Saccharomyces cerevisiae S288C: one gene and its partners. The protein of the gene in region 3 interacts with the protein of the main gene of each other region in a biochemical or structural test. Each region holds a gene or a part of one and is shown on either strand. Other genes may lie near its edges. The genes, in order: PLP2, YOL107W, FRK1 and YAP3.

Region 1 (5,917 bases), on a different chromosome or scaffold from region 3:
CACTATTCACCGGAATATTTATTGTAGTTGGCATCTTGTAATCCTTTACTTCCTTGGGTTCCCTTACATCTACCAATAGTTTTTTATCATTGGGGTGTTCGACTAGGTTCCTGACCTGGTCAAAAGTATAGATCTTTGGAGCCTTCGTTGTAAATGTTCTCAGGACCAATGTAGGCGATCTTGCAGAAACTGTCCTCGAGAGAATACCTGTACTATGCTTGAACATCGTTGGTCTTTTTCTTCTGTCTCGCTTCCATTTGTTGAGAGTTATCGCTATCTTATTCCATTCAGATTAAGTTTTGTATTTTTTTTTTTATACTTCCTAATTTCTTTGCGCCGCCGCTATCACAGCCAATGCAATAGGCAAATATTATGAACGGTGTGACATAAATGGCATAATACGTTACTAGCTTACGAAAATACACAGGGTACATACCTAGAGTATACAAGGCTATAAGTCAAGTTTATCACCCCCATGAGAAACCCAATCATTCATAGAGCCAGGATATAGTGAGGTGTTTGAATATCCATGTGAGGAGGCGACTTTTTGAGCTTCTCCCCCGCGTTTGCCAGAAGCACAATAAAATATTAGCTCCTTGGCACTGTCAGGTTTTGGGATGCCAATCTGTTTCTCAAATTCTAAAGGATCTAAGGCAAATGCGTCAGGGTGCGATCTATATGGCACATTGATGGAAGCAGGAATATGAACAATCGAGTACTCAGATGGTTCTCTAACATCTACCAAAACCACATTAGGATCATGCTTTCCAACGATTCTTTTCATGTCTTCAAAACTGTAAGATTGAATATTTGAAACATTCTTACTTTGACTCTCGGTTCCATTCCAAGCATTCATCACGGCCTTCCACATTTTAATATCGTTTCTTAGTCACAAACCCTGAAAATAAACGAGAAAGAATTCTTTGATTGATTAAGCCTCCACTCTCTTTTATACACCTCAAAAATTCTCCCCTTACTTCCTTCCCCGCGGGTAATAATATTCTCCAAAAAAAATACAAAAGCAATCAGATGTAACTTATATAGGTTCCAAGATAAATAACAAATTATTTGTCATTGCAAGTAGGAAAAGGACATACCGTAGGTGATATCTGGATTTGGGCCTTATGGAAGCCAATCTTAGTAGTAATTCGTCCATATGTCTACCAAAGGGGATAACAAAAAAGTACAACTACAAATTTTTCACACAGTGTCCCGTTAATTTCATATACTCAATATGCTGCGTTTAATCAAGAAAAATTCTGATATTTTGCGACAGAAGGTGTCCCTGGAAAGCGCTTAGTATGCTGTATGATCTTTGAAGTACAATGCACAGGGAAATAAATCACCATATCTGACGATCATCTTGCTAGTTTCTAAGTTCGGAACATCTTGTCTATGCGCCAATAAAACTAGTTTTACATCGTACAGAAACACTGTCCACTTAGAACTGGACACTTGTTTGCCCAGTATAGTTCTGATACTATTATTATGTATAATTCCCTCAATATTAAGCACTTTATGCAAACGTGTTGGCCCATTGAGGCATTGATATACGGCAAGTAATAGCACCTTTTGCTTCTTACCTTTATCAATTTGGAAATAATGTTCGAATTCTATTTTATTTTGCAGAATCCTTAGTATATTTTCTTCGTCGAACTTTTGTACACTATTTAGCTGAAACTTCATAAGCTTTCCGCTCAAATTAACCTTTGCATTTGTTGATGTCTGGCTATTCATTGGGGATGGGACCGGCTGGTGAGTGGACCTCTTACATTGTAATGATTTGTTCCTTTTCTGTAAAAGTTGTAGAAACGCGTCGTAGTACTTCTGCAAGTCGGCAAGAATGGGTTCAATCTGCTGAACGTCCAAACTAAAATCCTCCAAAAGATGTCGCATTTGATTTTCAATCATTGACAATCTCTTTTTATAGCCCAATGTAATACGATCGGCTTCGACAATTTCATCTTCTGAGTACTCAACTACCGAATCGTGGTCCAAATACATCTTGCCAAATTTTGTTTGTTGCATAGTTTCACTGATATACAATTCACCTGAATTTACCACCGACAGAACATATCCATTTCTCTGCTATGGAGTATCAATGTAGTCTTGTTACATATTACGACACAGTTTTCTTTCCTTTAAAATAAACGCGTCGTTCTCATCTCATGTGAAAAACTATATCAATAATATAAAAACATAAAACCCCTATAATTTATGAACATCTACTGCATTTAGATAAACCCTTACGAACTATATGTTTTAAAATAAAATACACGCATGCGAAATTTCTATTACTACCTAAACCGCATTTCTAATACAAAATGAGAAAAACCCAACAGTGAATAACCATATAGTGTCTAACGTAATCTTAAGTCACTGACGACAAATTCGCCATCACCAAGATGTTGGGTGTTTCCGACACGTCTCACAATAAACTGCTTGGAGTCCTTGACGTAATCAACTATAGTGACAGAGGTGTTGAAAACAATGATCTTATGAGCTTGATGATTTTCATACTTTAACCATTGTAAAATCATTCTGATAGCACCTCCATGACTAACTAGGGCTAGATTCTTGACACCTTCATTAGATGCTTCAGCAACTTCTTCTTCGACACATCCAGTTAACCTAGCAACAAAATCGTCACTTTTTTCCCCAAAATTTCTAAAGGAGCCTTCACCATGTTTATCAGCATACTTTTCAGCCTCAGTAATCTGCATACCTTCAATAACACCCATATAACGCTCCCTTAACCCCGAAGTATAGGAAGTAGGCACATTTTCTTGTTTTGAATGTTTCAAAACTAAAGCCGTAGTTTGCCTACACCTTTTTAAATCACTACTGACAACCTTATCAAAATGAATACCTCTTGAACGCAAGTAATGCCCCAATTTAGTGGCTTGTTCTTCTCCCGTAGGATTGATCGAGGTATCTTTGTGACCTTGCAAAATTTTTTTTACATTGTGTTCTGTTTGTCCATGCCTAATAATGAATAATCTGATGATGTTGTTATCGTCATTATCGCAATAATATGGTACTTCCTTAGTCATTCTTGGGTATAAATATATTTTTGGGTGCTTGTATAGCTTCGAGCTTCGTTGCCGCTTTGATCTTACAGTATGAGACTAATTCGAACCAGAATGAATAAAGCAATACTTTATGTTCTACAATTCAAAAAAGAATTAAGTAATATTGTGACGACCTGATTTTCCCATTGTATTAATATCGCTGGAAAAAAAATTACTGAAAAAAGAGGAAATCCCGCTAGAGGAAAAAAAGAAAAGGTTATATGATCGACCTGAAGAAATCTGCAGTACAAGATAACGCCTTCGAGTAAACATCACTGAGAAGAAAGGCATATTCAGCAGACATAATGCAGAATGAACCAATGTTTCAGGTCCAGGTGGACGAATCTGAAGACAGTGAATGGAACGATATTTTAAGAGCGAAGGGTGTAATACCAGAACGTGCACCTTCGCCCACTGCAAAGTTAGAAGAAGCATTAGAAGAAGCAATTGCCAAGCAGCATGAAAATAGACTAGAAGATAAAGACTTGTCGGATTTGGAAGAACTAGAAGACGATGAAGATGAAGATTTCTTGGAAGCTTACAAGATCAAAAGATTAAATGAAATCCGCAAATTACAGGAACGTTCCAAATTTGGAGAAGTTTTCCACATTAACAAACCTGAATACAACAAAGAGGTTACTTTGGCCAGTCAGGGAAAGAAATATGAAGGTGCACAAACCAATGACAATGGTGAAGAGGATGACGGTGGTGTCTACGTATTCGTTCATCTCTCGCTTCAAAGTAAACTACAAAGCAGAATTCTGTCTCATCTTTTCCAATCTGCTGCATGCAAATTCAGAGAAATAAAATTTGTAGAAATACCTGCCAATAGAGCAATTGAAAACTATCCCGAATCCAATTGCCCGACATTAATTGTATATTACCGGGGTGAGGTAATCAAAAACATGATAACGCTACTAGAACTGGGTGGTAATAATTCCAAGATGGAAGACTTTGAAGATTTTATGGTAAAAGTTGGCGCTGTTGCAGAAGGAGACAACAGACTGATAATGAACCGAGACGATGAAGAATCCAGGGAAGAGAGAAAATTGCATTACGGTGAAAAAAAATCGATCAGGTCAGGTATTAGAGGAAAATTTAATGTCGGCATAGGTGGAAATGATGATGGCAACATTAATGATGATGATGATGGATTTTTTGACTAAATAGTGCGAATATTCCTTATTTACAGGCTAAGTGGTGTCACTATCCCCATTATTTAATATATACAGATATAAAGAACAGCAAACTTTGTCATGTACTTCTCTGAATGTTTACGCGAGGATTACGGTATGTATGATTGAACATCGCTGCAGCATGGATTTTAGTAAGAGCCGTTGTCATGGCAACCAATTAAAGCTCTTTAATTACCGTCAAGCATACTTAGGATACAGATACAATAAAACCCCTTATTAAGTTCGAGCAGGCACATCTTGACAGAATAAACCTTTTAAATCGTCATATGGAGCATGGTCTGGTATCAAGTTTTACTACTTTTTCGCTTTGTTGTCAGAGGATAGAAATTTACTTTTTCTAGTTGTGCGTATAAAGAACACTATGGATGCAGTAATACAGAAAGTAATCTGTTCTACTTCGGTGCATTTTCAAACTGAATTCTACCACAAACCCCAGAATTATTATTATGAGTGAAAAGAAGAAAGTTCTAATGCTACATGGTTTTGTCCAATCCGATAAGATATTTTCTGCGAAGACTGGAGGATTACGAAAGAATTTGAAGAAGTTAGGTTACGATTTATACTATCCTTGCGCCCCACATTCAATTGATAAAAAAGCGTTATTCCAATCAGAGTCAGAAAAGGGTAGAGATGCTGCGAAGGAATTCAACACCTCAGCGACTAGTGATGAAGTATACGGGTGGTTCTTTAGAAATCCCGAATCTTTCAATTCCTTTCAAATAGATCAAAAGGTGTTTAACTATTTACGTAACTACGTGCTAGAAAATGGACCATTTGATGGTGTCATTGGATTCAGCCAAGGTGCAGGTCTTGGGGGCTACTTAGTCACTGACTTTAACAGAATATTAAATCTTACTGATGAACAACAGCCCGCTTTAAAATTTTTTATTTCATTTAGTGGATTCAAATTAGAAGATCAATCCTACCAGAAAGAATATCATAGGATTATCCAGGTGCCCTCTCTACATGTAAGGGGGGAGTTAGATGAAGTTGTAGCAGAATCTAGAATCATGGCATTGTACGAGTCATGGCCCGATAACAAAAGGACATTGTTGGTTCATCCTGGAGCCCATTTTGTCCCAAACTCGAAACCATTCGTATCCCAAGTTTGCAATTGGATCCAAGGAATTACTAGCAAAGAGGGTCAAGAGCATAATGCCCAACCTGAAGTAGATCGGAAACAATTTGACAAACCTCAATTGGAAGATGATTTGTTAGATATGATCGATTCCTTGGGTAAATTGTAATTCGATAATTGATATTTATATGAGCTACATACAATTTTTATAAAACTATTGAAAATATCGACGAGAAAAAGGAATAGTGTGACTTTTCTGCCGCCTTCTTTGACGTTTGATTTTCTATACCTGATTTATATCTGTTGCTAAAGAAAGAATTTTCGCGGCACACGAATGATATATATTTAACGTAAGGATTTCTTTTATCTGGCGGAAGTATCTCAATATATTAATATTAAACGCTGTTGAACACTATCCTAGGAACACTGACAGCTAGAAGTGATCATAAGACATTGCATATAAAATAACTATTAATTTTAATTAAAAGAATTTAATTAGAACAACAGGAAGGTGTTATAAGAAAGTGCGAATGAGTACAAATACGGAAATCATAAAAAATAGTGATTTGCAA
Region 2 (6,306 bases), on a different chromosome or scaffold from region 3:
GGAGCAGGGGAGTTAGTGGATTTCTCGGCTTCGGGTTCCTTAGATATAGTCGGATTCGGCTTAATCATGACTGTGATTGTGGAATTGGCAGGCGTGACCTTCAAATCCGATAAGAACAGGTTATCGTGGAGGACTTTGCCCTTCAAAAGCAGTTTTATCTCGCTTATGTGGGAGGCCTTTTCCTCGCTGATCAAGTGCTGTTTTATTTGTAAGATAGTATCTGATGGGCTGAAATCATGCTCGATGGAGAACTTGGGAGCTTGAATTTTCTTTAAGGTTAAGTGGACGGCGGCGTTGTCTTGACCTTGCTGATCTTGGTGCAGTTTTAACTTCTTGGCACGATTCTGCTTATATTTATACTTCAAAGTAGGCAACGGGACACCCAAATTGGTAACATCCTTCAGAGGTTTAGTATAGCTTTTTGGTAGCTTCGGTTCAGTTAAAGTGGCTAAGGTCAAGAATTTACTAACGAACTCGTGTTCTGGACCGCTGGCGGATGTGCTCATGATTAATTTTGTATAAAGTTATTATTCTTCGCTAGTTTATCTCTGTATCGGTCTGTTCTAACCCTTTTCTCCAACTATGTTCTCCTGTGCATGTTTTCTTCTTTTCGTTTTTCCTTTGTTTTTTTTGGTCGTAGTTGTCGCAAGCTCGGCCTCCGGCCTGATTTTAAAACTATTCCTAATTCAAGATTCGGTAAAAAAGATATATAATAGCTAAGGGGAGGAGAGGAATAAGAGGAAAAAGTTACATTAGAGGACAATACTCAATCTAACCCTTACTAGATGTGCGATAGCCATCAAAAGGAAGAAGATAACGCAAATACGAGCGAAAGGGCGTTATTTTTTAATTACCATGAGTTTTCGTATTCATTCTACGAAGACCTCGGTTCCGAAGACGCTAAACCCACAGAGCACGACGAAGACCACAAATTGTGTATTACACATTTCCCGAATGTGTATGCTGCTCGGGGCTCTGCCGAGTTCCAGGTGACCCGGGTGGTACGAGTGCCCCGGCGGTTCGATGAGTCTCGCAGCAGCCTTGAAACGCCACAATTTAGTACACAGCTTCCCGGTAGCGAGCCGGCGGCAATCGTGGGCGACGATGGCACTAGCTTTGTGCGGTGCGGGCGTTACGACATTGGGGATCACGTGTTTGGCTGCTCCTCCGTCTCGCCTCTGTCAGAATATCTTAGTGCGGCAGAGCTCGCGGAGGTTGTGCACCGGGTAAACGGATTCTTGCTGCGTGAAGAAGGTGAGGTGTTCGGGTGGCGTAACTTAAGTGGCCTGTTGCTCGATATGCTTACGGGCGGTCTGTGGAGCTGGGTTTTGGGGCCCCTTCTTTCTAGACCTGTGTTTCAGGAGTCTCTCGCGTTAGAGCAGTACGTGGCGCAGCTAAACTCGCCGGGAGGTCTGCTTCACGAGCGCGGTGTGCGCCTAGTATTGCCCCGACGGTCCGGGTGCCTATCCCTAGATTTCGTCGTGCCCCGACCCAAATAGTTAAACGTGTGGTTTATGGGTGCACCAGGGCTTTATCGTGTTTTATATCGATGGCGATTTGTGCCTCCAGTGTATTTTTGTATATCCAATTAAGGTTTCTTACCTAATTTTATTTTTATCATCTTTAGTTAATGCTGGTTTGCTCTGTTTCTGCTGCTTTCTGTGCGGTTCTCCTCTTCTCTTGTTTCTTCGTGTTGTCCCCCATCGCCGATGGGCTTATATGGCGTATATATATAGAGCGAGTTTTTACGTCGAAGATCATCTCAGTTTGCTTGATAGCCTTTCTACTTTATTACTTTCGTTTTTAACCTCATTATACTTTAGTTTTCTTTGATCGGTTTTTTTCTCTGTATACTTAAAAGTTCAAATCAAAGAAACATACAAAACTACGTTTATATCAATTAATAATGTCTGAAATTCAAAACAAAGCTGAAACTGCCGCCCAAGATGTCCAACAAAAGTTGGAAGAAACCAAAGAATCTTTGCAAAACAAGGGCCAAGAAGTAAAGGAACAAGCTGAAGCTTCTATCGACAACCTAAAAAATGAAGCTACTCCAGAAGCTGAACAGGTGAAGAAGGAAGAACAAAACATTGCTGATGGTGTCGAACAAAAGAAGACCGAAGCTGCCAACAAAGTTGAAGAAACTAAGAAGCAAGCTTCCGCCGCCGTCAGTGAGAAGAAGGAAACCAAGAAGGAAGGCGGTTTCTTGAAGAAATTGAACCGTAAAATTGCTTCCATTTTCAACTAATCACACTTGAATGTGCTGCACTTTACTAGAAGTTTCTTTTTCTTTTTTTAAAAATAAAAAAAGAGGAGAAAAATGCTGTTTATTCTGACCTTTTACATAAATTTTTCTTAATTGTATCTATCTAATAACTAATCAATATAATAATAATAATACTAATAATAATAATAATAATAATAATAATAGTAGTAGTAGTAGTAGTAGTAATAATGATGATGATGATGATGATGGATGATCAAAAGCCACAAAAAAGAATGCTCCGAGAATAACCTCGGCGGTTATTTCACGTCCCGGAGGAAAAAAAGTTTGATAAGAAAGTAAAAATATGAGCGGTACGAGAATCGAACCCGTGTCCCCACCTTGGAAGGGTGGGATGATAACCACTACACTAACCGCCCGGGTTAATTGTTATTAGTTGGTGAAACTGATCTCAATCACTATAACATTATGGTCTCTTAATAGCAAAGGCCAACCAACTGACTTCTTGCAAACTGATGTTCAATTTTAGCTCTAAAATAAAACAATGTAAAAGAAAGATAAAATGACATAAAGCACTATCGCTTCAACGGCAAACAATATTGAAAAAGTATCACATTATAGTAAGTTGAACACTAAAAGATTAAATAAATACTTCGGCACACTTTCGATGAAGGAAAGCATTAGTAGTAACGTATATATATCATTGTTGTTGCTACTTTTCTTTGTGGGATATGCACCACTCCCCTCTGCAAAGTGAAGAAAAGGTATGGGAAGAATTTCTTCGCTTATATTACTTACTTTACCCTACTCCTTGAATCACTGACCACTCTGTCCATCACCCAGCTCCCAAATTAACTCCTTCGGTACTAAATCCCGAATGTTTCCATTTTGTTCTTGTACGGGATCGCTGCTGCTGCTGCTGCCGGTTTTTGCCTCATGCTTAGCTATGATTTGTTTTCTCAGCTTTTCATTCCTTTCATACAACCAACTTAAGTAACTCAAGCTTTTCAGGTATATGATTAGTTCTGACCGACTTTCCTGGGGTTGCAGGTCAGGTACTACTGCTACCAGTTCGTCAAATATAGCTCTTTCCAATTCTCTCCTTTTTTTTTCAGACGAAACATGATTTATACGTATTTGACCATCAGTCAATTTATTAATCTTCTTAGACCTGCGTTTCCTTTTCTTCACATTAGCCAGTTCACCCTTTATCTCCTTAATCTCGGACAATCCCGGCTGTATTGTTTGTATCTCCTTAATATCGTTCGTCATTATTGCTTTTCTCTTTTTAGTTCAAGCCGCCCTCTTAACTCCTTCGTCAAGCTTATCTTGTTGGCATTGGAATTTCGCAAACGCAATCGCGCCTCTGTCTTTAAGGTGAGAAAAACATGTGAATATTTTGTTTGATACGTAACAAGCTCATACAAACCAAGCCAAGAAAAAGAAGACGACTAATCTATTTATAACAAAGATATTTGTTCACTATAATGCAATATAGTTCGAGGTTCCTAGAATTGAATATCCCGGATTCATTTTTAAATATCAATAAGATTCCTGATGCTACTAAATTTATTACAGTCACTTATATATGCTTAACTGCAACCCTTTTCTGTATAAGGAGATCCTTGTACAACAAGCTAGTTCTTGAAGACCCTAACTTGGACTACAACTTGATTACTTCGCCGCTTTTGCAAATGGTACCTTCGCAGATTTGGAGGTACCCCACCTCATTAGTTCTATCCAACTTCATCGACACTAAAGCTTGGAAGGTGGTAGTGAACTTATTGAATTTGATCATTGGTGGATCCTTCATTGAACGCAATTGGAACTCTTCCAAAGAAATGTTCAAATTTATCATAGTTTTAGGTTCTCTTACAAACGTTCTGATCATCATGCTGACTTTGTTAGTATCTTTTTTCTCTAATAAGGTAAGGCTGGATATTCCCTTAGACGGGAACTACACAATTTTAATCGGTTTCCCTATCATTTATAGACAGTTATTGCCTGAAACAACTATAATCCATCTGAAGACACCTCAATTTTTGGCCAAAAACTTTAGGTTCAAATTACTACCCATTTTTGTAATGTTTACAATGACGGTAACCCAAATAATATGGTTTCATCATTTTGCTCAATTGTTCTCCATTTGGGTTACCTTTTTTGCCAGTTGGTCGTACTTGAGGTTTTTCCAGAAACTTGCACCCTTGAATTGTCCCTCTTTGCCAACAACTAATTCTCAAGGTGGTCAGGAAATATTGGTCGGCGATGCATCTGATACTTTTCAATTGATTTACTTCTTTCCTGATCTAATTAAGCCGATTTTGAGGCCGATTTTCAATTTCATTTATAATGTAGTTGTTGTAAAATTTAAAGTCATTAAACCTTTTCATGATATTGATATAGATATTGGGAACACCATCGCAGAAAGTAGAGGCGCCAAAAAAATTATGACTGTAGAAGAAAGACGAAGACAGTTAGCTTTACAAGTTTTGGAAGAGCGTATGGTAAACCCTTGATATATGGATCTATATAACTTGAAATATGCTCTATTATATCGTGATTTAATGACGGCTGTTGGCATTTCGGTCTTTACCAAGGTAGTAGGATTTGTATGCTGAATGTGCGCCAGTACTATCGAACCATAGAAACCCATATATTCCCCAATATTAATAATTCTACTGAGAAATGGGTGAATTTTGAAATAATTGTTGGGATTCCATCGTTGATAAAGGCTATAATATTAGGTATACAGAATGTACTAGAAGTTCTCCTCGATGATATAGGAATCCCCATAATGGAATCTATATTTCTATGTACCAATATTACGATTATTCCTCATTCCATTTCATATGTTTCATTATCCTATTACATTATCGATCCTTGCATTTCAGCTTCCTCTAACTTCGGTGACAGCTTCTATAATAACTTATGTCACTATCTAACACCGTATATGATAATATATTGATAGTATGACTACTAGTTGATAGACGATAGTTGGTTTTTATTCCAACATCTACATAGTGGCACTCACTACGCTGCTAAATTTGATCATTTGGTGAATAATTTGATAATTAGTAGTTCTTCTCCGGGATATAGGAATCAACAAAAGGAAAACGATAGTTTTACATAATAATATTAATTTATCTTGCTTGGTTCGCCTTTGAAGAGCGCAGCTTTCAGAGATTTAGCTTCTATGGCCAAGTTGGTAAGGCGCCACACTAGTAATGTGGAGATCATCGGTTCAAATCCGATTGGAAGCATTTTTTTTTAATATTTTAAAATTGTTTATATTTTTGTACCACAAACATCATTAGAAGCTGCAAATGAAGTGAATCAGAAAATTTAAAAATGAAACTAAATACTAAATATTATTGTTCTTTTTCTAACAGTTGAAGTGCCAAAAGCAGTAAATTGTTTAAATATTAGGGTATAAAACATGATATTATAAAGTTAATGATTTAGAATGGCTCCGTCCAGCAGAACCAGTTGATTACCATTAATGTTGAGAGTTTATGCGAGTTTTTCAGGCTCGATTATGAGATACGGTACTAGATAATTCAGGATTATCAGGATTATCAGGGTTTACCACTTGCAATGGTCCGCTCATCATCATGTCGGGTAAAGAATTGGCACTGAACCTTTCATTTGCACTATTCAAAGTATTTGCCTCTTCAAAAACTGTCGATGGAAGGTTCTGTTTCTGAACCGTAGCATCTTGTAAGCCAGCCAAGTTGTTTATGATGCTTCCACTGGTGTTTGAACTAGGACTACTATAATTTGCACCATTACTCATAGAAAAACCATACATATTACTTGTACCGATAGAACCCGCTGTATTACCCCTTGAATGTCTCATCCAATTTGTCGTACCAGAGGAGGGAGGCGGTCCTATTGGATTTGCATCCTCATCACCGAACGAATAGGGCTGATAATGTTTCGTTTCCTCCAAGTCTAATTGGTCGTGCGATTTCCGTCTCCTCCATATCAGGAACAATAGAATCAAAATAATAAAAATTACGCCAAACACAACACCAATAACAATACCGGCAATGGCTCCACCACTCAGACGCTGCTTCGAAGTC
Region 3 (7,563 bases):
GCAGTATCGAAATTTACGAGATCACATTTACCATCGATATCCAATTTGACTGTTAAAAGCTCTAAATTATGGCATTCTTCGACAATGGAGAAGCCTAAGCTTGATGATGAAGTCGCATAACTCTTCGATAATACAGAATTTGCTAGCTCAATAATAACCACCATCTAAGATGATCATTAAATACTAACATTTTGTTTTGGGATTTTATTCCTTTTTTTTTTTTAGTGTACGTCAAAGGTAAGCACTTATCCTACCAAAGATCCAAGAGAGTCAACAACCCAAATGTCTCTTTGATCAAGATCGAAGGTGTCGCTACTCCACAAGATGCTCAATTTTACTTGGGTAAGCGTATTGCCTACGTCTACAGAGCCTCCAAGGAAGTCAGGGGTTCTAAGATTAGAGTTATGTGGGGTAAGGTTACCAGAACTCACGGTAACTCTGGTGTCGTTAGAGCCACCTTCAGAAACAATTTGCCAGCCAAGACCTTCGGTGCTTCTGTTAGAATCTTCTTGTACCCATCCAACATCTAAATTTGTTGATTGTATAAGTACTCTATTAAACATCGTTATTTTCTCTTTTATTACTATTAATATTATTATATTTTGAGAATAGAAAAGACTAATATATATATAGTATAATTTTTAAAATTAATTCCGTACAAAAGGCAAAAGAAATTGTCTTCTTACTTAAAATGTCTGCGAATCTCGCTGTAAGCGCAGTGAAACAATGTTCCCGCTTAGAAGACGTGATTCAAGCGGAGTGAAGCTATGATTGATAATAAGTAACAATTTAGAAAAATTTTTGATGTTTTTAGTAATGCAAAATATATATGGTAGGTATATGCATATATATGCTCAATGTTTATTAGATTGAAATTTCATAAAGTATATTATAACATTATTTTGTTGGTCTGGCAAATCGCAAAATTTTAGCGACAGACATTTTAAATGGAAAAATTGCAGATAGTACTGATTTTTTCATATGATAAGTGGATATTATTGTCAAATGAGATAGGTATTATCTCTAGATTTTCATACTTCTTCTTTTGAAAAACCCTAATACTCTTTTTGCGGTTGAATGTTCTGGACTTTGGGCTGCTTTATTGTCTACGCTTGCCTTGTTGACCTCAGATACCATTATGGAGGACCTGTTGCTTCGGACCGCTTTTTTAGTTTCTAAAGTACATTTATTTTGCACCATCGTTGGTGCAGGCAGGTCTTTTGAGACTTGATGGGATGTTTGCATATTTGAAGCAGTGATATAATGATTCTTTGAATTTGTTTGATAACTGTCATCCTTTTTTGGGCGTCTTTGGGAAGGTGGAGAAGGTTTCCGTTTGGAATCCATTGATGAGTATAAACTAGATTTGGAAGTATCATAAGAGTACAAGGAAAGAAAGCTAAATCTTTTCTTTGTTGACTCTGCTTCGTTAAGTGATCTTTCTAGATGGTTATTGACGTGTTTTTGTGCTGTAGCTTTCGCGATGTTGCTACTTTTACTACCCTTTTCACTTGTGTCCTCCGTTTTCGCCTTATCAATTGATTCTTGTCCTTCATGTTGTTGAAGAGGAGATTCTGGTGGCCTCAATTCATCAGACTCTTCGGTGACCGTATCGCATGAGATGTCACTGAATATGCCGCTATATCTCAAACTTTTGCGCTTCTGTTTGTATTTTTCATCATAGATTCTCGTTACTACATCAGCGTCCCTCTTATACTTGATCAAGTCACCAGATACGCTTTGCAAATCAACAGAGGGTTTTGCTACTGAAAATTGGCCGTGCGTAATTAACTTTGGAGAGCTTTCGATGGAAGAGGATGAGGTTATGCATGTATCTAGGGCAAGGTATGGTGTGGAATCAAATGGGGATGTGTCTCTTTGATTCAGCGTTTGTGATGAAGCGCTACTTTTAGCTTTTTCGTTGATCTCATATATGGAGAGCGTATTTGAATTGTAGGGAGGTGTTGTGTATGAGCCAGGATGGTATGAAGTTGGCCGTGGCTTTGTATGGGATGAGGAAGACGTACGGTAGAAATTTTTAGCAGATTGGAGACTATTTTGGGTCTTATTTTTATTGTATTGATGATTTTGTGATGAAGCCATGTTATTTGGTTGAATCTTGCTTGTTTGCATTGTGGTAGACGACTCTTCTTCTAAACTTGGTACAATACTACTCCCAGAAATTGTATTTCTTTTAATAGGTGTGGTTTCGATTATAATATCGCCTGGACTTATGGCTGGTGGAGGTGAAAGACTGGCAGTCATGTTTCCCGTAGTTTGTCTAATGTTTTGTACTGGGGATAATGATTGTTCATGACTTAACACATATTCCCTATCTGCGTTCACCACTGCCTGCAAGGCAACGGATGCAGCAGAGTTACTTCTATTGTGCCTATTAGATCTTCTTATAGGTGACAGCCGCTGGTCAGATGCAATAGAAGCCGGTCTGGTTATAATATGATTTTGTGATTCTTGAGGCGGAGCCGGGAAAGTAATTAAAGTTGAATCAATGACCAGTGAATCCCTTTTATCACTCCTTGAGCCAAGAGATGAGGTAGAACAACTGGATTGTGGTCTAGATCCATATCTTCTTCTTGGTTTTGCTAATCTGAACACGGATTGAGTATTGTTTAGTTTGTCCCACTCATCAGGTGTTATGGATAAGAATGAAGAATGAGGCTTTAGCCATTCATGTTTCTTGATCTGTTTCAGGTTTATTCTTTTCTTTGGGTCTGAGACCAGCATGCGTCTTAATAAGTCCCGAGGTATAGGAAGAATATAATCAGGGAACTTTAATGGTGTGGAGTTAATATAATTATAAAGTCTTCCTATATCGCTGCCTTCAGGATTATTTGGATCATCATCCCACGGTAAATATCCAGCTAGTATAGCGTAAAGTATAACTCCACATGACCATATATCTGCTTTTCTAGCTTCGTATGGTTCGGCGCTTATCACTAGTTCAGGCGCTGCGTAGCATGGAGAGCCACATGACGTCTTCATTAATTCGTTTCGTGAGCAAAACTCATTGACAAACCCAAAATCTGTAATAACTAGGTTCTCATTCTTGTCTAGTAATAGATTTTCCAATTTGAGATCTCTGTGAACAAGTCCCTTAGAATGTATGTAATGTACTCCACTTATTAGCTGAGAAAATAACCTGCATGCATTCATTTCCTTAAGCCTCCTTTTTTTTTGAATATATTTATAGAATTCTCCCCCGCATGCGTACTCTAGGACAATACCAATGTACCTAGAATTTTGCAACACTTCTTCTAATTTTACGATATTCGGATGTGATAAGTGTTTTAAGGCGTTGATTTCTCTGTATATTTTAACTTCTTTCCTGTAATCATTCGATATGCTATCACGTTTGATAAGTTTAATTGCTACTTGTTTTGGGAAGTCAAAAGTTGAATTAGAGCTGTTTGAAAAATTCTTTGGCCAGCCTAGCTTCACTTTTCCGAACTCTCCTTCTCCTAACGTCGACCCTAGGATATAAGGACCAAACGTTACATGTTTCCGCCTTTGCTCATCTGTTCTTTGAGGGTACTGAAATGTGTCAGACAAATCGTTGGTAAACCCTCCGTAGTATGTATGACGTTTATTGGTGTACGACATTAAATTTTTGGCACTCTAAATCAGTATATAGAAGTAATGGCCAATTGAATATTGAACGCCGCTTGGCTCGCCTTTCTTGTATTGTGGATGGGTAAAAAAAATAGCGATTATTGTTAGGTTTAATTAGCAATCAAAAAATTCTCGCAAACACGTCACAAGAAACAAATTAATGCAAAATGTGGCACAGTCAAAAAACTGCGAAAATGTGTTAAAGATGAAAAGAACCGTGATCAGCAACAGCAGTGTACCAGATTTTGTGATCTGATTTATTATAGATTTACTCGATGACCTGAACTTGAATTATATTTAAATCGATGAAGGGGTTGAAACAGGTGTTGATCTGGGTTTCAGAATTTTTCTCTTGTTTACCTTTTTTGCTGTTCTACACTCATTCTTTCGATTGTTTTCAATTGCTTTTTTAGGAAGTGCGGCTTTGTTTACATAAAAGGTGTGCGGCATTTTAATGCAATATGAAATTTAAAAGTATATGTAACGATAGCACTATTATTTAGGGTTCCTGAAATGATATACTTTATGGATAGACATTATCTGTTCATTGAGTATACAGTAGGGGCTAAACCTTCTTTTAAGGGAGTAAAAAAGATGGATATGCATTACGTCGGCCACATGACATTAATTGTGCAGGTTCAGCTGATGTATAGGCTGAAGAGGCTACGCTTGCTAATTTATAATGCCATTTACTAACCTAAGGAGAATAGAATCTCCCATAGAGTGAGTATGTTGTGATTAAAGAGATATGGTTTCATCTTTACTCGAGTCCATTTTCTTTATTTTTTTAATGGTAAGAGGATGAGTATAGCAAAAACGGTCAAGAGACAGCAGTAAGTGTCGTCGTAACTAGAACAAATAGGCCTTATAACAGAAATCATAAGGGTTGTCCCGTGGTCGGAGCCCTTGTCGGAACTAAAGAAAATCAGGCAATATAGAGGATATTTTCTACGTACAAAACGCTTATTGTATTTATAGCTCCAGTTACTGAAGTGGTAACTTAAGTAAGCAATAAGTATGTTAAAACCCTTTTATTTTTCTGAGTCGAGCAGATTTTTGTTCGACCGTTGTATATAGGATAATATGACGCCATATGATTTTTTCCTCTTTGGTAGGGAGGGAAGAAATTTTCCCCGCGCGGCTGAGTACAAAAGCGCCTAGTACTCACTTGAGTCATAATTTAGCACATCATAGCGTGCCTGCCAGAAAGACTTGGATGCGCATTTCTATTTGATGTAAGTAAGGAAATAGGAGAACTTTCATAGCCCATGGCTAGTTCGGTTTTCAGTAAACTATATACGTATATGTTAAGAATATTTCGGAGTGTCTAGATAATAAAAGAACATCGTTAAACTTATGAATGGTGAAGGAGGAGAAGTCTCGTTAAAGAATTCCTGTTGTAGAAAAAGTCAGTTCTGGTTACGAGAGGAAAATGTTGGAAGTTTATATCCCATCCTTTTCCTTTTCCCAGCATTTCTTTACAAACCGTTCCATGTTGACTTTTTTTTTCATTTGCCCTACAATCCAGGGATGCTTTAACATTTGCCTGGGAGAAGGCCTCTCTCTGGCATCTTTTTTTAAACAATAGTCGATAAAAGATCTAAATGTCTTGCTCCAGGATATGTCTAGTTCTGGCTCATCTTTCAACTGGGGAGAAAACGTCAGGATCATCGTCAATAATTCTATAGGAGCCACGTTTTGCGTTATTTTGTCAGATTCAAATGGAAATCTCCCTCCAGCAACCTCCAGAAGAGTTAATCCTAAGGACCATACATCACAGGTTACGCTGTATGGTTGGCCTTGTATTCGTTCTGGGGCCATATAAAATGACGTTCCAGTAAATGTCATCGCTAAAGAGTTAACAGCCTCCCCACTGACACCGAAATCGCATAATTTGATTTCCCCTTTTTCATTAAGAAGAATGTTTTGGGGTTTAATGTCCCTGTGGATGACTTTCCTTTCGTGTAAGTATGATAAACCTCTTAAGACAGATTCTGCTATCTTTCCTATCACCCTCTCACTTATTCTACCGCCACGTTTCAACAAATTTTTATACGTTGCCTCCAGTGATTTTCCTCCCATATATTCCATGGCAATGTATATTGAAGAACTCTGTTCGTCGGTAAACATACCATAGTACTGCACAATATAATCGGACTTAAAACTCTTATTAAATTGTAGCTCTCTGAATATTTGCTTTTGATATTCTGGGTCAGTATTCATAGTGTTGATTGTCTTCAACGCAAAAACCTTTTTTCCATTTTTTAATCGGCACTTGGCTACAGAACCACCCGCGCCTTCTCCTAGAATTCCTAGTGTAGTAATCTCATCCTTGAGATGCCCAAACCTCCATGCTTCTTCCTCTAACTGGTCTACGTCTTTTCCTTGTATTAAGTTGGAACAAGAAATTATGTTATTTGCACTTAAAGGGGCGGAGTTGCTCCCGCTACTGCTGAAGTCGTACGCAGAAAGAAGTGTCGAGGGGTATGAATCCTCGCCTTCTGGTGTGTCGAGATCTTTCTTGATAAAAGTGGTATCTATGTTGGATAACTTAGTGGAAATTGGAGCACTAGATAGTAGTTCCTTGTAAGTTATATCAACATGCAAATTAGAAAATCTTTCAGAAAGCTGACTATCGCCGGCAACTCTATATTCTATACCGTCTTTTTTTTGCGTTAGTACTAGGGGAGGTAATGGAGGTGGTACCGGTCTATTTTTAATAGTTGTAGTAGATGATCTATTGTACAACAAAGTGGAATTTGAAGCCATGGATGACGTAGTGGAAGTAGCTGAAGTGCTATTGTTGGAGTATGGGCTTTCGTTCACTGACGAGTACGGTGACCGGTTGAGATGTTGCCCATCATTAGTGGATTTCGCATTTTGAACTAAATTTACTGGAAGCGTTAATTTTGGAGTCTTTTGGTGACTCCTATTGGATTCTGGTGGTCTGAACATTGAAGCCATTATCCTGTGTATATAATTGGTATTTTGTAGATATGATAACAGTGCCTGCTATGCTAATCAGGTAATACTTGCTACTAGTAAAATGTCTAATTTTTTGAGCGAACGAATTTCATGCAAATTAGAAGGTAGCCAACATATAAATATATGAATATATATGTGCCTACGTGTTTGATGAGGTTTTCAGTAAAATTAAGCGGAAAGTATTGAGCTTTCCCAACTGATCCCTTTGATTTATTCTCTTTCTAATTCTTCAACTCTAAGGATAAAGTTTATTTCTTTTTGATTTTTTTTCGCATTGAGAAAGTGAACATAAACAAGGGTAAAATAGGCTCAATATCAGTTCACCTTTGAGAGTCTGGCAATAAGAGATGTGGTTCTAAGGTTACCTTATACATTCTAAACTCTGAAAACGCGTTTTCAAAGGTATGTACATTTCTCTATATTAAAGAGTAGATCCTTGCCGTTTATATATACATGTAGAGCAATTCTCAAGCTAATAATTAATGTTTACTTCAGACAATAAAACATTAAAAACAAATTTTTAGAAAAACAAAAGCTGAAGTAAAGACTAAATATTACACAATTTATTCATACATTTCCGCCCCAAACTCAAACAGCCTAAATAATATAAAAATTAACTTTTGGCAGCTCCAACCTCTCTACTGCCATCTAAAACTTTTCCAGTAAACGGCTTATATACAGTTAACAACCCGTCACTATCAACTGTAGCAACTAGATCCTCAATGTATTTGTGATAAGCAACGGTATTAACCTTATTATTTTCTCCTATTTCTCTTCTGCAGCCCTCAGTGTGATAAAATGCCATGCTTTCGGCCTCCAATTCGTCAGATATTATGCCTTGAAAGTCCTCATGTATCTCGTTATAAATGGCAAAAACAGGTTCGAAATTCCAGTGGTAAACATTACCTAACCCTCCAATTGTAACCACTTCCATAGGCGAAATGGAAG
Region 4 (5,993 bases), on a different chromosome or scaffold from region 3:
CGGTGGACATCTGGTGCTAATAATTTGATGGAATTTGTTGGCATTTTGTAATCCTAAGTGAATATATGAGGCTCAGTTTGAATGGGTAGGTTCGTTTATCCTGCGCTGGCAAAGTACGTAGAAAAAAGAGTATGAATCTTTCTTAGATATATTCAAGAAAAAGTAAGTAAATAAGAGGGTACGTGATTATAAACAGATACGAGTTTAGCGAATAATACCGTTCGCAATCATAACTTTATAAAACTCATCCTATTACTTACTATTCGACTGGAAAATTTTCGCAGGCAAAAAAAAAAAAAAAAAAAAAAGAAAAGAAAAATCGATGAGCCTGCCGTACACAGAGATATAATAAATTTAGAATGCAAGAATGGTATGGCGGTGATGAAGATAATCATTTCCCTGCTTTTTTATTTTTGTTGCGCTTCTTCTTGCTTTTGGATGCCTGTGCTGCCCCATGTGGTTGCTGTATTAGGATGGTACCTTCTTTTACACTCTCATCAGCGTCTTTGAATTTTTCTTGAGAATCTAGATAAAACATTAGGTCCTTGACTTGCTCTTCCAAATCTTGTTTAGACTCTTCTAACGCTTTGTTTTCTCGCTCTAACTGCTCTTGTTTTTTTGATAAGTGATCTAGGTTCGCTTGTAGTCCTTCGATTACTAACATATCTTCCTCAAGCTTAGATTTCTGGGCCATTTCCCTTTTCTGCCACTCCTTTTGAGTGACCTGAAATTGGAGTTTCAAATCTTCCATAGACTTCTTCAAACTTTCAACATTCGAAGAATCAGACGCAGTTTGATCTTTTTCTTGTAATTTCAGTTCATAATATTCTCTTTGAGACTCTAATTGAGATATTAGGACTTGCACATATTCTAGATGATACTCCCTATGCCTTAAAAAATTTGCCGCCAGCTCGCCATCTTTTTTATTAGAGTTCGATTTCTCACCGTTTTTGCTCCTGTTCCCGTAAACAACATTTTGTAGTTCATCGGAGTTGCCTATATCATTGTTGTCATCGTCACCGGAGCCGCCGACCTCTACTAACTTCCCATCAACTTCATTTTGAACTAGGCGATGGACATAATTATCACCCGCATAATCCCACACTCTTTGTGTCCGTATATCCATCGCAAAACAATGTAAAGTTTCTTCATAATGCTTGATTGCGTGTTTGGAATTGTAACGACCGCATCCAACATTACCGCAGATCAAGCAAATCCATAGATTATCAGTGGAACCACATGTTGCACAATGTGCGGAATCACCTGCCTGTTTCAATAATGATTCCCTGCTTAGCCGCAGACTTGAATGTCGACACACTGGACACCTTGAATTCTTCCACTTATTTAAGCATTGGCAATGAAAAGTGTGCTGGCACGGGATCGTTACTAATCCAGTAGTTTCTGAATCCATTCTTTCAAGGCAAACGGGACATGTGGGGAGTTCGACTTTTACCAGTTCCTTTTTTTTCTTAACAGTGAATGGATCAGTAAGCAGATAGGGGAAGTCCTCGTTAGCGGCTGGTCTTTGGAAGAGCTTTTTTTGAAAAACTATTTCTTTTACAGAGATCACATGGCATGTTTCGGGATCCATCCTGCTGAAACTTTTGCCATTGAACTCTTCCTTGAAATTTTTCGCATCAAGTGCATTCCTGAATTTAATTAAGACCGTGAAATTAAAACCCATTCCCTTCTGCTGATTTCGTAATATACGAAAGTTTGAAACTTGCTTATTAACAATATCATCACCAATATAAAAATGCAATAAATCGTGAACGGTAAAATAAGTTGGAACAAACAGGATACATATCATAGTATCATCTCCCGGGATAGTCAAAATCTCCTTCTCATTAAGAGTATTATTGGCATTGCTTAGCTTGAATAGCCTTATTATCCCATGGCCTAAGTATTGTGAAGTAATCAAATCACTTTCCTCTTCTTTTGATGTTTGATTTTTGAAATCAGTTATCATGTCTATTTCCAAGTCACAGACTCTCCAATCCTGCCAGTCTTGATTATTACTTTTAATACTTTCTTCCCCGATACTTTTTGCCTTCAACTTTTTCGGAATACTCTTGAAAATTTGATAAGCGGATTCAACCTGATTTTGGTTTCCAAATTCTAAAGTAATGATATACTCAAATTGATCCATAGATGTGAGGGCCAACCAGAAAGTAATACATTCAATGCTACTATTCCGTTATTGCCTCTATGTGTTTTCCTTTGAACTTTTACTTAATCCGCGGGTGAAATTTCATTTTTATATTTTCCATTTTATAACAGGCCGTCCCCTAAAAACACCGCGTAAGAACATAGTTTATACACTTATATAAGTAAAAGGTGTAGTAGGTTGGAATGGTAAAGGGCGTATTGTGTGTCAATTATGCGATGAAAATGTATACTTCGAAGTCAATAAAAAAAGAACCTGGTTTGCCTCATGAAGATGTTGCCTGCCCTTTCTTATTTAGTGTTTGTAAGTTATTTTTGTCAAAGTCTATTCATTCATTCAAAGTAGCTTCCTCCACTAGAAAATCGATTAAACTTCTTGGATACGCAGGTCCATGGGTATGACAACATTCTTGTCCTTGCAATTTGCTCATAACGTATGTCACATCAAAGTCCCTCTCTTCTGAAAGTTTGTAAAGATACTCCCAGGTGGCGGGGACTGTTAGTACATGTCTTCCTGCTTCGTCAGTATACTGGGTATTTCGCTTCATAATTTCATTATCCTTTAGCGAATACTTGCCTTTGTGATTCAGTTTGCTTTCCAGGACCATAGAGGTAAAAAATTCATCTTTCGTTGGGAAAGAATATTTGTAGTTGGTATCATCTTCTATGTCCTTTGAAAAATTTTCATTACCACTCCGCAGTAGCAGTCTGTTCTCTGCGTTGATTTCAGTATTTGCCTTTCTTAGTTCCTCAATTTCTTTCAATAAACTTTGGCGGTTCCTTTCACTTTCTAACAATTTATCTTGTAATTCTTTCATTCTGGCTTCTTTTCTCTCTCTGAAGGCTTTTTGGGCGGCTCTGTTTTGAGCCTTTTTCTTTGCCTTAGAGTCATCTGGAACATTCTCATTATGAGCAACTGAGGGACTCCTCGAACTTGGAGATATACCATTATTTTTAGAAAAATAATTTGTATTACTATAACTATCATTATCATTATTATTGTTATCTGCCATAACATAGGTAGAGTAGTCGCCTGAAATAGGGGTTAGTTGAATTGCTTGAAGATCACTACCCTTAGGGAAAGATATGTTGTTCTGTAATAGCAAATCATTATTTGATCTGTCAAGGTTCAAAGCAGGACACTGGTCTTCCAAAATTGGGAAGGGTGCTGTTTGCTCGCTCAATAGGTCTGGTTGTTGTTTTATACATTTGCTATCTTCTTGGAATAGACTATTTCTGATACAACAATCCTCCTCTTGGCATTGAGGGTTAATAAATTTCATGAATCCGCTGGTATTATCATCCATATTAGAAGGCGTCATAACAATTGCTTCAGCCTTATTCTTCGTTAGTTTATACTGGAAGTAAAGCAAACACCTACTGCCCCTTTTATCGAAATGATAAACAAATAAGAAAGCTCAGAGGGCCTCCGGTAATATTCAAATCGATCTGTTTTATAATGCTTATTGAATAATAATGCCGTTGCTGTACTCTTAACATAAAGCTACGAAAATCCACTATACATTTTTCTAAAGAAAAAAAAAAAATTCAAAAAAAATTGATTTCGCCCAGGATCGAACTGGGGACGTTCTGCGTGTTAAGCAGATGCCATAACCGACTAGACCACGAAACCAAATTCTTATTGATTATGTTGTATTACGGGCTCGAGTAATACCGGAGTGTCTTGACAATCCTAATACAAACAGTCTTAGGGAAGTAACCAGTTGTCAAAACAGTTTATCAGATTAATTCACGGAATGTTACTTATCTTATATATATTATATAAAATATGAATCATACTGTTGGAACGAGAGTAATTGATAGTGACATGAGTTGCTATGGTAACAATCTAATGCTTACATCGTATATTAATGTACAACTCGTATACGTTTAAGTGTGATTGCGCCTATTGCAGAAGGAATGTTAAACGAGAAGCTCAGACAATACTGAAGCGGTGTTAAAGACCTATTAGTTGAACATGTTATGGTAGGTACATATATGAGGAATATGAGTCGTCACATCAATGTATAGTAACTACCGGAATCACTATTATATTGGTCATAATTAATATGACCAATCGGCGTGTGTTTTATATACCTCTCTTATTTAGTATAAGAAGATCAGTACTCACTTCTTCATTAATACTAATTTTTTACCTCTAATTATCAACATGGCGACCCCAGTGAGGGATGAAACAAGAAATGTTATTGACGACAACATTTCTGCGCGGATTCAATCGAAAGTCAAAACAAATGATACTGTCAGACAGACGCCATCATCATTAAGAAAAGTTTCTATTAAAGATGAACAGGTGAAACAATATCAAAGAAACTTAAATAGGTTTAAAACCATACTAAATGGTTTAAAGGCAGAAGAGGAAAAACTTTCTGAGACTGATGATATTCAGATGCTAGCTGAAAAATTATTAAAACTCGGAGAAACCATTGACAAGGTTGAGAATAGGATTGTGGATCTAGTTGAAAAGATACAATTATTGGAAACAAACGAGAACAATAATATATTACATGAACATATAGATGCTACAGGGACTTACTATTTATTCGATACGTTAACTTCAACCAACAAAAGATTCTACCCTAAGGATTGTGTTTTTGATTATAGGACTAATAATGTCGAGAACATTCCTATTCTCTTAAACAATTTTAAAAAATTCATCAAGAAATATCAATTTGATGATGTCTTTGAAAATGATATCATAGAAATCGATCCTCGTGAAAATGAAATCTTGTGCAAGATAATCAAAGAAGGACTCGGTGAAAGTTTAGATATCATGAACACAAATACAACTGACATTTTTAGGATAATCGATGGTTTAAAAAACAAATATAGAAGTTTACATGGTAGAGATGTCAGAATTAGAGCCTGGGAAAAGGTTTTGGTTGATACAACATGTAGAAATTCCGCATTGTTAATGAATAAACTTCAAAAGTTGGTACTAATGGAAAAATGGATTTTTTCTAAATGCTGCCAAGATTGTCCTAATCTAAAGGATTACCTACAAGAAGCTATCATGGGAACCTTACATGAATCCTTAAGAAATTCTGTGAAACAACGTTTGTACAACATTCCACATAACGTAGGAATTAATCACGAAGAATTTCTAATCAATACTGTTATTGAAACAGTAATTGATTTGAGCCCAATTGCAGACGATCAAATAGAAAATAGCTGCATGTATTGCAAATCTGTTTTCCATTGCTCAATTAACTGCAAAAAGAAACCAAATAGGGAACTTAGGCCTGACTCGACCAATTTCTCAAAAACCTATTATCTACAAGGTGCACAGAGACAACAACAACTTAAGTCCAGTGCAAAACGAACAAAAGTCTTGGAACAAGACACAAAAAAAGTCAAACAAAGTGTACAACAGCAAAAAACTGGTAATTATTGATACCGGTTCCGGCGTAAACATTACCAATGACAAAACCTTACTGCATAATTACGAAGACAGTAATCGCAGTACACGATTTTTTGGTATTGGGAAAAACAGTTCAGTGTCTGTTAAAGGGTATGGCTATATAAAAATCAAGAATGGTCACAACAATACTGACAATAAGTGTTTATTGACTTACTATGTACCGGAAGAAGAATCCACTATAATCAGCTGTTATGACTTAGCCAAGAAAACCAAAATGGTTTTAAGTCGAAAATATACCAGATTGGGAAACAAAATCATAAAAATTAAAACCAAGATAGTTAATGGTGTCATTCACGTAAAAATGAACGAGTTAATTGAACGTCCTTCCGATGATTCAAAAATAAATGCAATAAAACCTACTTCTTCTCCTGGATTTAAACTAAATAAA

What was found.
Region 1: of the proteins of FRK1 (region 3) and PLP2, one has a biochemical effect on the other in vitro, tested with the Saccharomyces cerevisiae proteins (one large-scale study listed by BioGRID).
Region 2: of the proteins of FRK1 (region 3) and YOL107W, one has a biochemical effect on the other in vitro, tested with the Saccharomyces cerevisiae proteins (one large-scale study listed by BioGRID).
Region 4: of the proteins of FRK1 (region 3) and YAP3, one has a biochemical effect on the other in vitro, tested with the Saccharomyces cerevisiae proteins (one large-scale study listed by BioGRID).

Annotation. Positions count from the first base shown.
Region 1 is NC_001147.6:844,589-850,505, reverse strand, and holds PLP2 (Plp2p), read left to right. Parts: upstream 1-3,376; coding exon 3,377-4,237; downstream 4,238-5,917. Other genes in the region: thiosulfate sulfurtransferase RDL2, read right to left, coding at 1-226; thiosulfate sulfurtransferase RDL1, read right to left, coding at 452-871; HUA2 (Hua2p), read right to left, coding at 1,297-2,028; YOR283W (phosphoglycerate mutase), read right to left, coding at 2,361-3,053; FSH3 (putative serine hydrolase), read left to right, coding at 4,714-5,514; RFM1 (Rfm1p), read left to right, coding at 5,876-5,917. UniProt on the Saccharomyces cerevisiae protein: Essential for cell growth. Inhibits early G-protein signaling events following pheromone stimulation. Inhibits the folding activity of the chaperonin-containing T-complex (CCT) CCT2 which leads to inhibition of cytoskeletal actin folding.
Region 2 is NC_001147.6:108,391-114,696, forward strand, and holds YOL107W (uncharacterized protein), read left to right. Parts: upstream 1-3,711; coding exon 3,712-4,740; downstream 4,741-6,306. Other genes in the region: MDY2 (Mdy2p), read right to left, coding at 1-506; SHR5 (Shr5p), read left to right, coding at 786-1,499; ZEO1 (Zeo1p), read left to right, coding at 1,907-2,248; INO4 (Ino4p), read right to left, coding at 3,041-3,496; WSC3 (Wsc3p), read right to left, coding at 5,748-6,306. UniProt on the Saccharomyces cerevisiae protein: May play a role in retrograde transport of proteins from the Golgi to the endoplasmic reticulum.
Region 3 is NC_001148.4:282,441-290,003, forward strand, and holds FRK1 (protein kinase FRK1), read right to left. Parts: upstream 3,622-7,563; coding exon 1,024-3,621; downstream 1-1,023. Other genes in the region: 60S ribosomal protein eL33 RPL33A, read left to right, coding at 226-530; putative mitogen-activated protein kinase kinase MKK2, read right to left, coding at 5,074-6,594; UME1 (Ume1p), read right to left, coding at 7,229-7,563. UniProt on the Saccharomyces cerevisiae protein: Putative serine/threonine-protein kinase that may be involved in rRNA transcription and ribosome biogenesis.
Region 4 is NC_001140.6:81,573-87,565, forward strand, and holds YAP3 (Yap3p), read right to left. Parts: upstream 3,489-5,993; coding exon 2,496-3,488; downstream 1-2,495. Other genes in the region: ribose phosphate diphosphokinase subunit PRS3, read right to left, coding at 1-44; ETP1 (Etp1p), read right to left, coding at 392-2,149; YHL009W-A (gag protein), read left to right, coding at 4,337-5,578. UniProt on the Saccharomyces cerevisiae protein: Transcription activator involved in the regulation of genes expressed in response to environmental changes.